2 linked regions of the Astyanax mexicanus genome follow. The protein of the gene in region 1 binds, or shares a complex with, the protein of each later gene. Links are inferred from orthologs where the notes say so. Each region holds a gene or a part of one and is shown on either strand. Other genes may lie near its edges. The genes, in order: bbs4 and bbip1.

Region 1 (8,256 bases):
CGCTGCTGGGCTTTCTTGGCTGTAGAGCTGGTGTTCAGGGTCCAAAAGCGAGTGATCAATAAAGCTTTACATGTCATAGTTCCTAGATTATTACCCCTGAAATTTTAGCATGTGTATTTTAAGCCTTTTGCAAAAGTTTGACAAAGCAATTAGCTGCGCATAACAGATCAGTCACACATGAGTAATACTTACAGAGCCAGACTAAAACACTCAAGACAGGGTGTTAACCCTTGAAATCTTTCTTGATAGATTTGCACCATAAAAAAGGGGGCCTTCTGTTCAGAGACATATTCAGCCTTTTGCCTCCAAAGTTCACTTCAGAGCATGCCTCATCTTCTAAAATATTAAGCGCCGACTTCAATAGACACAAAACAACAGGATTACTTAGCTCAGGGTTCAAGCTAAGTTCCACATTACTTAGTTTACACATAATCTGACGCAGTCTGACATGAATAAAGACATGCATGTTTTAGCGACTGCATTTTCTGACAGAAGGCACATTTTTCAGTGTCTCTGATAAGGAACACTCTGCCGCTGTGCTCCCTCCTCACTGCTGGAGACCATGTAAAGCTCCCCCATTCTAAACCCAACAGGCACCGCAACAAAGGAAGCATCTACAGTGAGGGGCTGCATCTGCATCTTACTTAGCTGGCTCATAAGGCTGCTGGCAAAATCTGATTTCAAGCAGTTCTATTCCTGGACAGACTTTTCTCCCTGAGCTGTAATCCTCTTCAAGGCTAATCGGAGACTGGAGAAGAAAACTCAGCCAATCAGCACCACCCACAGGAGGAAGGAGAGAATGGCAATTGAGACGAATTGGAGCAGGGACAAAGCTCTGAAACACTTTTTATACAAAAACCTTGCATCTTCAAATGACAAATTTACAAAAGTAGAAAAAAATAATCTCTCTTAAACTCTTAACGTGGAGGTCAATGAAAAAAATATTTTATTCCAAGTAATTGTGGAGCATTACTGTTGGTTAATTCCTCAGAAAGTTTTGATACAATGTAAACAACAACTGCAAGCGAAAAAAAAAATCTGCAAAAATTGAGGCATGCCAAGAATGAAATTCAATGAAAACAATGATATGCAAATGATATGCACATGAAATACAAAAAATAAGAATTAGTAGTAAATCTACCTGAAGTTTCATTACTATTAATCACACCAATAACTGCATAGTTTCTAGATGCAATGAAACGTATAAAACACATAACTGTTGCCACTACAGCCAAGAAGTCTATAATCTACCTATCAGCAAATCAATATCAAATATTTAATTAATATAATTTTGCGTCACGTCTAGTTTAGATCAAAGAATTTAATTAATCACATCATGAATCAAACACTTGTCACATTATTATAACTGTAATATCTTAATGTAAATAGAAGAGAATATGTCGCCGTAACATATATGGCCACTGTTTTAAGCCCTCTCTAATCTTCTTATAGGCTAAATACTAGATACTGGTGTTCAGCAGCTGTCTTTTTAATCTAACAAACCTTTTTTAAGACGAGGCTTCTTAGGGTCAGTGGCCACCGGCAGCGGAGCATCCTAAAACAAATAAATTCATACAAATTAATTTATCAAAATGTTCAGCATAAATGAATAACATAATACAATATTTCAATATTAAACAAATGCTAAACTTTTTGACTAATTTTACAGTGTGACTAGAGTACCATGTGATACTGTCAGATTATTTTCATGCACAAAGTAACCACTGTGTGAACAGAAAGACGATGTCATTATATATACACTGCATAGATACAAATAGGGATTAAAAATGGTATTAAATAATAGTTTATTTTGTTGGAGTAACTGTTTCTGCTCTCCATGGAAGGCATAATTCTGAAACATTGCCGGGAGGTTTTATTGTATTCAGCATTAGGTTAGTATTAGTAAGGCCCAGATGTTGATAAATTTCACCCATCTTATGCCTAACTGTCCAAATCAAGGCTTTTATTCCCCTCTAGCCCTCACATTGCACATTCTAATGACAGTAGACAAGCTGTGTATGCATTTCCAGCTTGTGTGAGCAATGGGTGTTTGTAACTTAAATAAGCTGAATGCAGTCATTAGAAGGAGTGTCCACAACCATTTGAACAAACAGCTCTGGAAAAAAATAAGAGACCATTTCAGTTTCTGAATCAGTTTCTTTAATTTTGCTATTTATAGGTATATGTTTGAGTAAAATGAACATTGTTTTTTTTCTATAAACTATGGACAAAATTTCTCCCAAATTCCAAATAAAAATATTATCATTTAGAGGATTTATTTGCAGAAAATGAGAAATGGCTGAAATAACAAAAAAGATGCAGAGCTTTCACCTCAAATAATGCAAGGAAAACAAGCTTATATTCATAAAGGTTTAAGAGTTCAGAAATCAATATTTGGTGGAATAACCCTGGTTTTTAATCACAGCTTTCATGCATCTTGGCATGTTCTCCTCCACCAGTCTTACACACTGCTTTTGGATAACTTTATGCCACCCCCGGTGCAAAAATGCAAGCAGTTCAGATTGGTTTGATGGGTTGTGATCATCCATCTTCCTCTTGATTATATTCCAGAGGTTTTCAATTTGGTAAAATCAAGTTTAAGTGGTCTTTTTTTTTGTACAGAGCTGTATAGTGTGGCTAATACCGTGAGCAGAGACAGGATGAATGAACTGACTGTCAGAAGGTGGGTAGCTACAGAAATAAGAGCTAACTAAAACTTTATTTTATGAAAGACTCGATATTTTAGTGTGTTCTCAATAGCCTACCAGCCCCTGCAGACGAGTAACAAGTACAGAAAGACTGAAATGAGCTTTACCACAAAAAACAGCCTAAACTGAGTTAACGGTAACGGTAGCATAAACACTAAAGCTTAGTTAGGCTTAGTTAGTGGCTGTATTTCAGACAGTCAGGCAGCTACAGGGGTTAAACAGTAGGTTATCTGAGACACTGTAGCTGTTGTTTAATGGGTTTAAATCGTATCATTAGCAGCGCTGCTGGCTAACAGACGCGCTTGATCTGCAGCTCCGCTGTTCAGACAGACCCTCCCAGCGAACCGCCCCGCTATATATATCCACTGCCCCGCTTCACCAACACACACTTTATACACAGCTACAGCTACAGAGTTTCACTGAGAGCCGCTGCAGCTCCATAGCCCCATTCTCACCGCTTTAACCGTCTCCTCATCAGCCATCCCTCCAGCTCCAGAAAACACACTTCCGGTTTCTACGCGGCCCCTGAAAACGCACGGCCGTTACCATAGTAACTAGTCCCGCCCCCATCCAAACGAGTCCAAAACGATTTTCTGTCAAAAGTCCCCCCTAAAACGTAATAAAACTCTGGTGATTAAATACTATGAACTAGTTTGATAATATATAGAGCTTAAAATAATTTAAAATCTACACATAAAATAATGTAGATAAAAGAAAAAGTATATATACTCATACATACCTGTCAAGTTTTGGACTTAAAAATAAGGGATTTTTTCCGCCGCCCCAACAGCCCAACCGAGGGCTAAAAATGTATATATATATATATATATATATATATATATATATATATATATATATATATATATATATATATGTATGTGTATATATATATATATATATATATATATATATATATATATATATATATATACACATATATATATATATACATATATACATATATATTTTTTTATTATTATTTAATAGATTTAAAATTGAAATTGAAGGGTGCACAAATTTACAAAAAGGACATGGATCAGATATATTCCATAAGTAAATAATAGTCCTAAGGGGCCTACACAATTAATAATCTTTCATTAATACTTCTTTCTATCATTCAGTCCACTCCTGATCAGTTCAGTTAATTTCAGCCCTCTCCACATTTTCTCTCTCTCTCTCCAGCTCAACCATCTCTTCTACCCCTTCTAAATAATACATTACACCACAATACTTGAGATTTAAACAAATTCTAACAAACCCTAAAACTAGCCCTGAACTAATAGAGTTTGGAAATTATATGTTTTGGCTGATCAGGCACATCAGGGCAGGGCATTATATGTATGTAGATTTTTCTCAAACCCTGAATATCTATCTAGCTAATTCTAAAGTTAAGCTAACTGAGTCACAAGCTGTATTTTATTAAACACACAATGGGTTGAATTTATGTTTTGATTCAGAGAAGAGTCTTTTTAACCAGCTATCAGAAACAATCTCATCACAGTTTACATGGTTAGTTACCTTTCTTTTAGAAAAATCTCCGTATATCCAGATTAGTTTTAACGACAGCTGCTCCGACTAGCTGCCTGAACTCACAGCGAGGGGAGGGGCGGGGCTGGCTCTGCCCGACACTAAACTGCGCTCCGCAAAACCAGCAATCTGATTGGCTGTTTCTCCTGAAAGGCGGGACTTTCTCCTTGAACCGGCAACACGATTGGTTAAGAGACACACAGTGCATTGTCGCCTGTGGCCTATATATTTTTTTTATTTAGTATAATACGGGAAATTTACGGGAAAATACTAATACGGGAGGACGACGGGAAAGAGGAGTAAAATACGGTAGTTTCCCGGCCAAAACGGGAGACTTGACAGGTATGTACTCATATAATGATGTATTGTTATAAAATAACTAAGTTCTGGAAGCAGGAACATGCCTGAAGAACCTCCCCATTCCAGTCTGACATCCTAAAAATTCCCTGGACCTCTGATATGCCATGGCAACTTTTCGCAAAAATTATTCAAATTGTCAACCATATAATTGTTTATATTTGCAGTTCACGTGCATGCACCAAATACTCTGCACTTTAGTATTTCGGTAGCTTTTTTCGCTCTTTTACATTGTTTTATTTACATTTTGATTTGTTGATATGTTATTATTATTCTTATTATTATTCTTATTCTTGTTTTGTAGCTGTTGGTACAAAATATTACAAAAAAGTTTAGATTTTTTTGCTCCTGCTAAATGTTTGAAACTGTTATACAGTGGTGCATAAAAGTTTGTGAATACCTTAGATTTTTTTTTCTTTTCAGCTACTGTATAATATTGAAGAAGTAAATACAGACCTCAGGCTCTTTCAGTTTAGTTTTTTTTTTTTAACTGAGACTGAAAAAATCACCATCAGGTGTCGCTGTTCAGCGCCGAGGCAAACAGTTATCACACACTTTCACTGTTGCAGCTGATATTATTACACCGTAGCATATTAGATATGTCGTTGTACAATGATATTTTGCATTCATATATAAAACCCCCTGTTGTCTTTGGGTGGAGTTTGTATTTTGTTGTCTTGAGTCACGTGACAGCTTAAGTTAGTCCTATATAACGCACAGTGTAAAACTCTTAAGACGTCGCATCTGATCCCCATGTATCGTTTATTTATTAATCTGTATATATCTGTCTATTACTGATGAGTTTACTTTATATTTTTATAGTCCATGAATTAACTAGCTATATTTGTATAGAGTACTTTATCATTTTATAGAGTTCATAAGTTTACCTAATATTTTTAGAGTTCATAATTGAATTATATCTTTTAAAAGTTCATAAGTTTACTTTATAATTTTTATAGAAATAAAGTTTCCTTACATTACACTTTCATTAATTATTTTTTTATAAGTTTAATTAACTTTTATAAGCTTAATTAGCTTAATTAAGACTTGTTACAAACCCATTTAAAAGTAAGTTTTTTGCATTGCTTAATCCTGTTTCTTATTACATTATGTTGTAAAAACTTTGAATCTTAAAGCTGCATTCTATGAATAAAAAGTGCTTTATAAATAAATAAATAAATAAATAGATAAATTATATTATTGTTATTACTCTAGTCACATATTCAAATATTATTTAGTTCTTTAAATTATTAACAGCATTCACACCAGTTTTTTAACTTTTGATTTAACTTTAAATGTACTTTATTAGATTTAAAGCTTTAAAAATATTAGCTTTTAAAATGTAATAGAATTACACAGTCTCAGAATTAGATTTGAATTCTCAAACGTTTAAATGTTCAAATAATCAGAAATAAGCATTCAAGAATGTTTTTATGAATCTTTAGGGTTCAAGCACCGAAGGTGCGTAGAACCCTATTGTTTTTGCTAAAATTTTTAGGGTTCAAGCACCGAAGGTGCGTAGAACCCTATTGTTTTTGCTAAGATTTTTCTTCTTCTTCTTCTTCTTATTATTATTATTATTATTATAATTATTATTATTATTCTTTTTCCTCTGAAAAAGCAGTTGTGCAGCCTAAACTGTAAGTCGTAGAGATATGAAACTTGGTAGGTAGATGTAGGATCAGTGCATCTCGGCGGACAACAAAAATGGCACCGATTGGTCAAGTGGTGGCTCTATAAACAAGGAAATTCATTTTTCACATTTTTCTCAATAACTCAAAAACCATAAGACCTACATTCACAATTCTTTTTTTGATGGATTCCTTGGGCCAATACCTACAATCATGCACTTCCGTCTATATAGATTTTTTGCTAATTTGCATAATATGCAAAACATACTTTTGCGAACTAGTCCTAGGTATTTTGACCAATCCTGACATGTTTGGTATCAAAATACTCAGGAGACCATGCTCTTCAATATTCATCAAAAATGTTGAAATTTGTACACAATATGGCCGTCATATGCAAATTAGCCCTTCCGGATATATGCCCTATTCACTCCAACAGTTAAATTTGGAGCACTGTTTCTCAGCAACCGTGCAACCTAGCAAGCTGAAAATTTGCATACAGAATATATCATATATCCTCTAAAGGATGGTCAAAGGGCAACTGAATCAATCAACATGGCTGAACACCATCAGCCAATCAGCATTCAGCAGACATTTTGGCAGGCTGAATGTTGAACAATCTGGATCACATTTGGCAGTTATTTTCAGGTGGAGACACTGTAGTGACCTGCACAGTCCTGAAACAATCCGGCCACTGGGGGACATAAACGAGTATATGTCAATCATGCTGTACTATTTTGACATCACATTATTTTTGCCATATTTAGTACAGTGGCTCTGACAAATTTGTCAATACAACTATGTTTAAAAAGTGCTTTGTTTATTCATAATTGCTAGTTGTTTGAAAATAGCTATATTGAAACTGGTCTCTGGATATTTGGCATATCACCTCCATTTCGGTTATGTTGCACACTGTAGAGTCTCTAGGTAAATGTTCATTAAAAACATTTGTGAAAATTTCACATACAATACTGTCCAGGCATCAAGCAATCTGTGCGTCCTTGGAATTTCTAACCTAAATTGCTGTAACTCTGCAGTATTTGCTGTAATCTCACAATGTTAAAGACCTCTGTACAAAATCACTCTGATGAAGCGCCATTTAATTCAGAACTAGATTTAGAATAACTTTGTAATTACATGTCATATCAGAACATGCACTCCTTTGTGCCTCTTCTCAACATTAATAACAGGTGAAAGACTTTTGATCATTTCTAAATGTGACAGTGTGTCTCCAATTATGCTAGACCTTCTTACACATCATCATCCTATGCTCTAGTAGGCACCATTGTGCCAGTTGGGGCTCGATGAAGTGCCATTTAATTCAGAACTAGATTTAGAATAACTTTGTAGTTACATGTCATGTCAGACAATGCACTCGTTTGTGTTAATTTAAACTTGTTTAGTCAAACATTTCAGCTTGTTTTGCAAAGGTCAAAAGGTCAATCTGAACACCACTTTGGGAACATTCTGGTTGAAGCCACCTGATCAATACCCATAACATGTAGACACCTTTTGACTAGTTCTAACTCACTTGATGAATATCCTACAAACTTCAATAGATTTGTATGTGAATTTAAGCACTGATCATGTTGAAAGGCCTCTGCTCAATATTAATAACAGGTGAAAAACTTTTGATAATTTCTAAATGTGACAGGGCATCTCCAATTACATTAGACCTTTTCACACATCACTATTCTATTGGTGCTTGAACCCGCAGATTGCCGCTTGCATATATTATTATTATTGTTATTATTATTATTATTGTCCCTTAGTTTAATTTTTCTCACTCTTATCACTCTGTAACACATTTCCCAAGATCTACTTTGTTGAAAACGTTATTACACATATAAAGAAATGTTAATTTTCACTTTAAAGAACTTTCTGTACATTTTATACAGTTTTCTGTGGTGTGGGGGGGGCGCCTTTTTGCATTATACACAGTACTGCCTGGTTAAGGTGGATGATAAAGTGGTTAAATAACACATTTTTAAAATGATGATTATATTATTACATTTTTAGTTCAAACATTCAGTTTT
Region 2 (7,719 bases), on another chromosome or scaffold:
CGAGGTTGTGATGAAGGTGTGCTCCTCACACTCCTGTGCTGCACCTCCTCATGGTGCTACTGCTCCGGCTCGGGCTGGTTCTGCTGCCGCTGCTCCCTGAGCGCCACCTCCTGCTGCTTTATCACCTCCTGCGCCTCCTGCTGCATCTTCTCCAGCTTCTCCAGAGTCACCGACTTCAGGGGCAGGAGCTTGGGTTTGCACAGGACCATGGTGGGAACATCCTCCATGGACAACTGGCCTGAACAGACGATAAAAAAACAGAAAACCAATATACCCAGAATATATGATTTAATCAACTCAAAATAACACAAATATAATTTAATCAGTCAGGCCTGGTTTAATGTTCAGGAATAACTACAAGACTAATGCTTAAATATATTTTAAGAATACACTACTGCAACAAAATGAAAATGACATTTTACTATTGCATATATATATGATATGTCACACCCCTAACAGAGATATAAACAAAACAAGAATTTTATCAGATCTGTAACAGAAGTCAATGATCCAGAATTATTAGTCATGATAATAATAATAATAATAATAATAATAATAATAATAATAATAATAATAATAATAATAATAAAGCACTCCAAATATCTCCATATATCTAGGATTAAAGTAAAATAAATAATACTGGACAGATATAATCTGTCTCTAGTAGATATATAGTGGGAAATGAAAACAGTGTGAATTTTTCTTTTGATAAAAAGTTAAAAAAAAAAAATAAAAAAAGTACAACACTGATGTGATAATTAGTGCTGTGCGATATGATGATAAATATTGTGGGGAGGATAGAAAAGTGTTTATCGTGCTACTTATCTTCTATCATCTCTATCATTTCTACAGTAATTTCATCAATTACTCATGCAAATATATAAAGTAGGCTATGTTGAAATGTATTGGCGTGGTCACTTTGCATAAACTCGGTTTTTATAAGTGATAATAAAGTAATCTTTGCAAAAAAAAAAAAGCTTCATAATGTGGTTTTGCGACATGACGCTGCTTTACGTTATTTAAGGGTCATGCACGGACATGCCGGTTTACGACGTGCTTTATGTTATTAAACTCATGAGAGCTGAACAATGGAGATGCATTGTTCTTTTAAAAAAAAATTGGCTACTGCATCTACTTCATCTGTTTGCACTAAAAGGTAGTAATTCTCATTTGTGAAAGTTTGGTTTAATGTAACTTTGAAATAAAATTAGAAAAAAGTAAGCAATGATATTGTTTTGTCACATTTTTCAAAGAATAACTGAAAACATACTAAAATGTGGTACATCATTATATAAATCGTTATCGTGATATAAAAAAAAAATCGCTCAGCACTAGGCGGGTGATATGAAACGATATTTCAGGGTATGATATCGTTCACCATATTCAAAAATGTTGGCAATGTTATTGCGTACGATAATGTATGGGACAGTTTTTTTGCTTCAGTGTCTCAAAATAACTGTATATTTGATTATGTTTAGATAAACAGAGGTGTTTGATTACAGGCTATTTATTTAGACCTGTATTCTCTCAGTAAATCAGGTATGGGCGCTCCATCTCACCTTGTTTGGGCAGAACCTCCCTGAACATTGACTTGACCTCAGGCATCGCACCTCGTGTACAAAACAACAAAATAAAAGTTAGTCACAAGCAGTCTGAGTGGAAACGTTTATTTTCCCCACTAGTTAAAGCCTTTTAAGAGCCAACCCTACCCGACCTGTATATAATCTCTTCAGCTAGTGAACAGCACACATCATGCTGACTGGATGCTGAAAAGACGGAAACTCTATCCAATGAAAATGCTATGTTCAAAATAGGAAATCTGAACTGAAACGCCTTAAAATTCAGATTTCCATCTCAGAATGTGGGGAAAGTCTCACCATTAAATCAGTTGTGCACACATTACTGTCCAACTTTTATTTGTAGACATGTTTATATGTTGTTTGGATGTGCAAATAATGTACAATGTGCTGTTAACAGGCATTACCTGTAGAACTGTTCTGTTTATTTTAAAACTACTGACAACATTTCTCCCAAATTAAAAAATTAAAATAGTAACAGCATTTACAATACAATTGCAATACAATTCTAATATTTTAACTCAGAAACATCTGGAATATGGAAAGATGGATGATCACAAAACATCAATCAAAGCTGAACTGCTTGAATATTTGCCAGTAGTTTAATAAGCATAAAATTACTCAAAAGCAGTGTGTAAGACTGGTGGAGGAGAGCATGATGCCAAGATTATTCTTTATTATTTGAAGTCTAACAGCAGTAACGTTACTGTTTTTTTCTCTCGTTATTTCAGCCATTTCTCCTTTTCTGCAAATAAATGCTCAAAATGACAAAATTTTTATTTGGACTTTGGGAGAAATGTTGTCTGTAGTTTATCGAATAAAAACAATTATGTTGATTTTACTCAAACATGAACCCATAAACAGTACAATCAGAGAAACTGATCATATATAAGTGGTCTCATTTTTTTACGGAGTGGTATATAAAAATATTGCACATATACACACATACGTATATATACACTTACACATTATCATTATATTTATATTAACATTACAATAAACTCGTTCGACGCAATAAATCCTGGAACAAATTATAATCAATTAAAAAGTATAATAACCCATGCCTGTTTGGATGCTTTATTATATGATAAATATGGTATATTAGTACGAGCTTTATTAATAAATCGTATCACAGCGGATTTCATTAATAAAATAGAGATTTAAAAACAGCTGATCTACAGGATCGCTTTAATCCCCACAGTAACCCGAGCTCTCCTACACCCTCTCTCTGTTTAAACGCGCTGTAAAACACACTAATACCGGCACCAGAACACCTATAAACAGCTATTAACAATTATACACCGATTTAAACAGTTATAAACAGATTTAAACCGCTATAAACAGTATAAATATTATAAAATAACCGAATTTCTGACTCAGTTTACCTTCAGCCGCGCTGATCTGCTCTCCTGTCTCTCCTTCTGCTCTCAGATCAGCTGCAGTCTGAGTCAGTGACCCGCTCCCGCCCCCCACCGGCCGAACCTGCTCATTACAGCTCATTAACGGTTTTCGGCACATTTGGTTGAAAAAATAAAGAGGCTGTTTTTTTCTGGATATCCTCACCTTTATCAACCTCATAATAACAATAAATCTTCATTATAATCATGTTTTGTTTTTTTGGGATGGAATATTGTAACAGTGCTCGAGCTCTTTTGTTATTAAATGCTGAAAGCAGGGTTCACTCCTACTGTCATCAACAGCATTACTTTAACTGCTTAAAATACAAATATTTTTTCCCTAATCATATTACTGGATGTATTTTAGTGTTTGAGTTATTTTAAAGAAATATCAGCATTATATAGTTAAAATTAAATTATATTCGCGGTGTCAATCACTTAAAAATTAGTTAATTATTGTGAGAGAACAGTAATAATAGTGTAGTGTAGTTTAGGTCTGGCATATAGCCTATCATAACACATCAAATCACAGCCTATAATAGCACATTACATTATAGCTTATCATATCACATCATTACACATTACATCATATCTTATCACATCACATCATAACACATCATTGCACATTACATCATAGCTTATCACATCACATCATAACACATTACATCATATCTTATCACATCACATCATAACACATCATAGCACATTACATCATAGCTTATCACATCACATCATAACACATTACTTCATATCTTAACACATCACATCATAACACATCATAGCTTATCACATCACATCATAACACATCAAATCACAGCCCATCATAGCACATTACATCATAGCTCATCACATCACATCATAGCACATCACAGCCCAGTTCTATAAATTTGATTATAATTCTAGGTAAATATTATATACACAAGATGAAATTTAATATCCTCATACAAATGTTTTCTTTATACACATCTAAATAATTATTTAAACAGTTCAGTAAATTTGTACAAGCTAAAATAAGGCATAATGTTATAATAATGAACTTAAACCAGCTATTGATTCCAATGATTTACTTACTTTTTTAACTACCACTTTGAGTGTTGAATAAGGGTGTGTAAAATATATTAAAAAAAAACTATACATTACTCTTGGCTTGGATGAAAAGCATTTCACATTTTATATCAGAATTACGCAGAAAACAATGAAAAGGGTTCACATACATTTTAAGTGTATACTGTGCAATGAGTGCATAATATCTCATGTGTGCATTGTAAGTGTGTAATAGTGTGTGTACAGTAAGTGTTTAGTAATGTGTGTGTATAGTAAGTGTTTTTAGTAATGTGTGTATAGTAATGTATAGTAATGTGTGTATAGTAAGCAAGTGTATAGTAATGTGTTTATAGTAATGTGAGTATAGTAAGTGTACAGTCATATGTGTATAGTAATGTGTGTAGTAATAAGTGTGTAACAGTAAAGTGTGTAGTTATGTGTATAGTAATGTGTGTATAGTAATGTGAGTATAGTAAGTGTACAGTCATATGTGTATAGTAATGTGTGTAGTAATAAGTGTGTAACAGTAATGTGTGTAGTTATTTGTGTAGTAATGTGTGTATAGTAAGGGTCTATAGTAATGTGTGTAGTAGTGTGTATAATAATGTGTGTATAGTAATGTGTGTATAGAAAGTAAGTGTGGTAGTGTGTATAGTAAGTGTGTATAGTAATGTGTGTATAGTAAGTGTGTGTATGGTATGTGTGTATAATAAGTGTGTAGTAGTGTGTATAGTAATGTGTGTAGTAATATGTGTATAGTAAGTGTGTAGTAGTGTGTGTGTATAGTATGTGTGTGTGTATTACGGTTTTAGGGGTCCGTATTCACGACGTCTCGCGATGTGTCGGGCAGCAGCGCGTGCGTGTGTTTCGGTGCGTGTGACGCAGGCAGGGCGGCAGGGGCGGGTCGCGCGCCGCAGCGGCAGCAGCAGCAGCACGAGCGGCGGCGGAGCGGAGAGAAGGAGGAGGAGGAGGCGGTGGAGGAGGAGGAAGCAGCAGCGGGGATGGCGGAGCAGCAACACCTCGGAAGGTAACGCCGCCGATCGCGGGGCTTTACGGGGGTTTGACGGCTGTCGGTCGGTCGGGGACTTGCTGACATACAGTAGCGGGGGAGAAGCGGGTAACCGAACCACCCGCCGCTCGCTGGGGCTCTCCGTGACCGCGGATCGGAGGGCTCTTTTGTTCAGCCCCGGAATGGCCGCTCGTATGTGTGTGTGTGTGTGTGTGTGTGTATGTTGGTATTTATCACATTGTTGGCACAACACTCATCTGTTTACACATCATCAGACCCTATTGCGGTATGGGGACCAGCAGAAATCAGCGTAATGATTCAGGGAAATGCGTTAAAATAAACACATACAGGAGCTACTCTGATTATATGAATATATATCTATGTGGTTTTAAGCTTAGGCCCATACATACCACATGTCTACTAGTCAGATTGTCAGAGAGAGTGTGTGTGTGTGTGTGTGTGTGTGTGTGTGTGTGTGTGTGTGTGTGTGTGTGTGTGTGTGTGTGTGTGTGTGTGTATAGAAAGAGAGAGAAAGAAAGTGTTTTTACCGAGCTCGGCTCGATCACTCAAAGTACTCATCTAAAGCAAGCAAACGAGAGAAAACGGGCAGGAAATACGAGGTTTAGCTGCAGCTTATTATATAGTTCTCTGGAACTGTTGCTCCCTGCCAGCGGGAATAGCTGAATACCGTGGCCGGTGTTGTGTCGAGTTGTGCTACCCATCGAAATGTGCTTATCAACACCAGTGCGCATGCGCTGACCCAAATTTATTTTATGCGTGTTTTATGGTAGTTCTACTAAATTTTACTTGGGTGCATTCAACAACACGAGCCCTCCTTTATCCTTATGTCATTTTTTATCTAAGTGTTACAAATGTGTAAATGACAGTTAATAAAAATAATAATAATTGTTTATTATTATTATTATTATTATTACTAACGTTATATAATTAATAACAATGATCATATTAAGTAGGTTTATTGTCAATACTGCATATCGTTGTATACAGGATATACAGAGAATTGAAATTGCTGTTACAGCAAGTAACGTTACTGTAATAATAAGATTCTAAATATAAAAGAATTAGAGACACAAAAAGTACAATACAACAAGGATAGATATAGACATACGTAAGAGATACAATACAATAGTACAACAATGATGAGGGGGAGTTAAAGATGGAATGGCAGTAATAATAAGTGAGCAATTAAAAATACAAAAAAAGGTTATCACTCATATTAACCATTAACTGTATCCTGGTATATATATTCAGGCTTTCCAAATATCCTACCGACAGTATTTTAAAATATGGTGCTTTTTTCGACATTTTTTACGTTTAAACACACACTAGAGTAGCAGAGTTTGACAGGGTAGCACGACTCGACAGAACACCGACGCTGGCGCCGCCTCTCCCGGCCTGGGCTGCGCTCTGCCCCCGCCGCGGCTGGAGCGCTGGTTGGTGGGTGACAGCTGCTGCGGGAGAGAGAGCGAGGCCCTGCGGGAGAGACCCGGAGCCTCTCAGGCTTGTGAGTGCGAGCTTCCCCCGCTGTGACACGAACTATACAGCGGTATAACAGCAAGGTACGCGCATTATTAATAGTTAATGTTCTAAATAATAAACACAAGTATAAGAATTTTAATTTCTACTGATTTAAAGCTCGTTTTTCGACCGTTTTTCCTTCACCGAGTTCACATTAGCATCCAAGCTAACGCTAAAGAAATACCTAACGCTAGTTAGCTTAGCTTAGCTAGGTGGGCTAGGCTAAAAAGGGTGGCTAACGTTAGTGTACTGGCCGAGTTATATAGTTAACTAGCTAACTCGCTAGCTTACCAGCTGTACTATCTAGATAAATCTCTAATTTATTTTAAAGTAAATCGTGTGCGCAGGGTTAAGGCAACGTTAAACTAGAATTCAGTGGAAAATAGCTCGGAAAATAGCTAAGCTAATGATAGCTTAGGCTAAATAATAAGGGCTTCTTCTTTTAGTCGGTCAGCTAGCTTAGCTGAGCTAACTATCTAATTTAGCCAGCTAACGTTAGCTAGCTGCTGTATTGACTATTGACTATCAAAACAAGACATTTGGGTGACTTTCTCCCAATCTTCCCTCCTTAAAACAAAGCTAATGATTTTTTAATACACGTTCAAACCGTCTGTCAACATGAATTGTATCTTTTAGGCCATAAATGAGGTCGTCTTTTGGCTGAGGTTATTTTTTGAGAGCAAGGGAAGTAGCTTAGCTTAGCTAGTTAATAAAGTGACAGTCAGATCTGAAGCTGTAACCTGGGTTAGTTAGCTATAGCTCAATATATGATGTTTTTATTCCAGACCTCTGAAGGCCTCAGTGTGGACTTCTTTCTGACTCAACAGAACATTTCTGCTGCATTTCCAGATAAATCCGTGTGTTCAGGTGTTTTGTATTTGTGTCTTTTCTCTCAGTAATGTTCTCTCCCTCCCTTTTTGTGTGAGATCACCGTTCCATCCTGTTACACCACCCAGAACACCTGCAGCAGCAGTGCTTCCCAACCCTGGTCCCAAACGACCTTCTGCCATGCACATTTTTAGTTCTTACCTGCTTTAATACACCACCAGGAAGGCAATTTAGACAGTACTTGTTTAATACTAGGGCTGCAACTAACGACTAATGAATTTTAGTAGTCGACTAATCTGACAATTATTTTTTATAGTAGTCGATT

The links.
Region 2: the proteins of bbs4 (region 1) and bbip1 are in contact, whole or in part, in a cryo-EM structure (PDB 6VBV), measured with the Bos taurus proteins. The link is inferred for Astyanax mexicanus from reciprocal best matches to the Homo sapiens genes BBS4 and BBIP1. Residues at the interface, in NP_001069424.1 of Bos taurus: Leu210, Leu213, Tyr236, Leu240, Ala241, Ser244, Gln247, Thr248, Ser269, Pro271, Asn274, Asn275, Met278, Phe281, Gly282, Lys284, Tyr298, Leu299, Pro301, Leu302, Asp303, Trp304, Lys305, Ile306, Tyr308, Asn309, Leu312, Leu315, Thr316, Gln318; in XP_003587939.1 of Bos taurus: Met7, Phe8, Arg9, Glu10, Val11, Leu12, Pro13, Lys14, Gln15, Gly16, Gln17, Leu18, Tyr19, Val20, Glu21, Asp22, Leu28, Lys30, Pro31.

What each region holds. Positions count from the first base shown.
Region 1 is NC_064409.1:48,864,188-48,872,443, forward strand, and holds the start of bbs4 (Bardet-Biedl syndrome 4 protein), read right to left. Parts: upstream 3,264-8,256; 5' UTR 3,191-3,263; coding exon 3,164-3,190; intron 1,556-3,163; coding exon 1,504-1,555; intron 1-1,503.
Region 2 is NC_064430.1:22,198,603-22,206,321, forward strand, and holds the start of bbip1 (BBSome-interacting protein 1), read right to left. Parts: upstream 3,042-7,719; 5' UTR 2,963-3,041; intron 1,611-2,962; 5' UTR 1,606-1,610; coding exon 1,560-1,605; intron 239-1,559; coding exon 57-238; 3' UTR 1-56.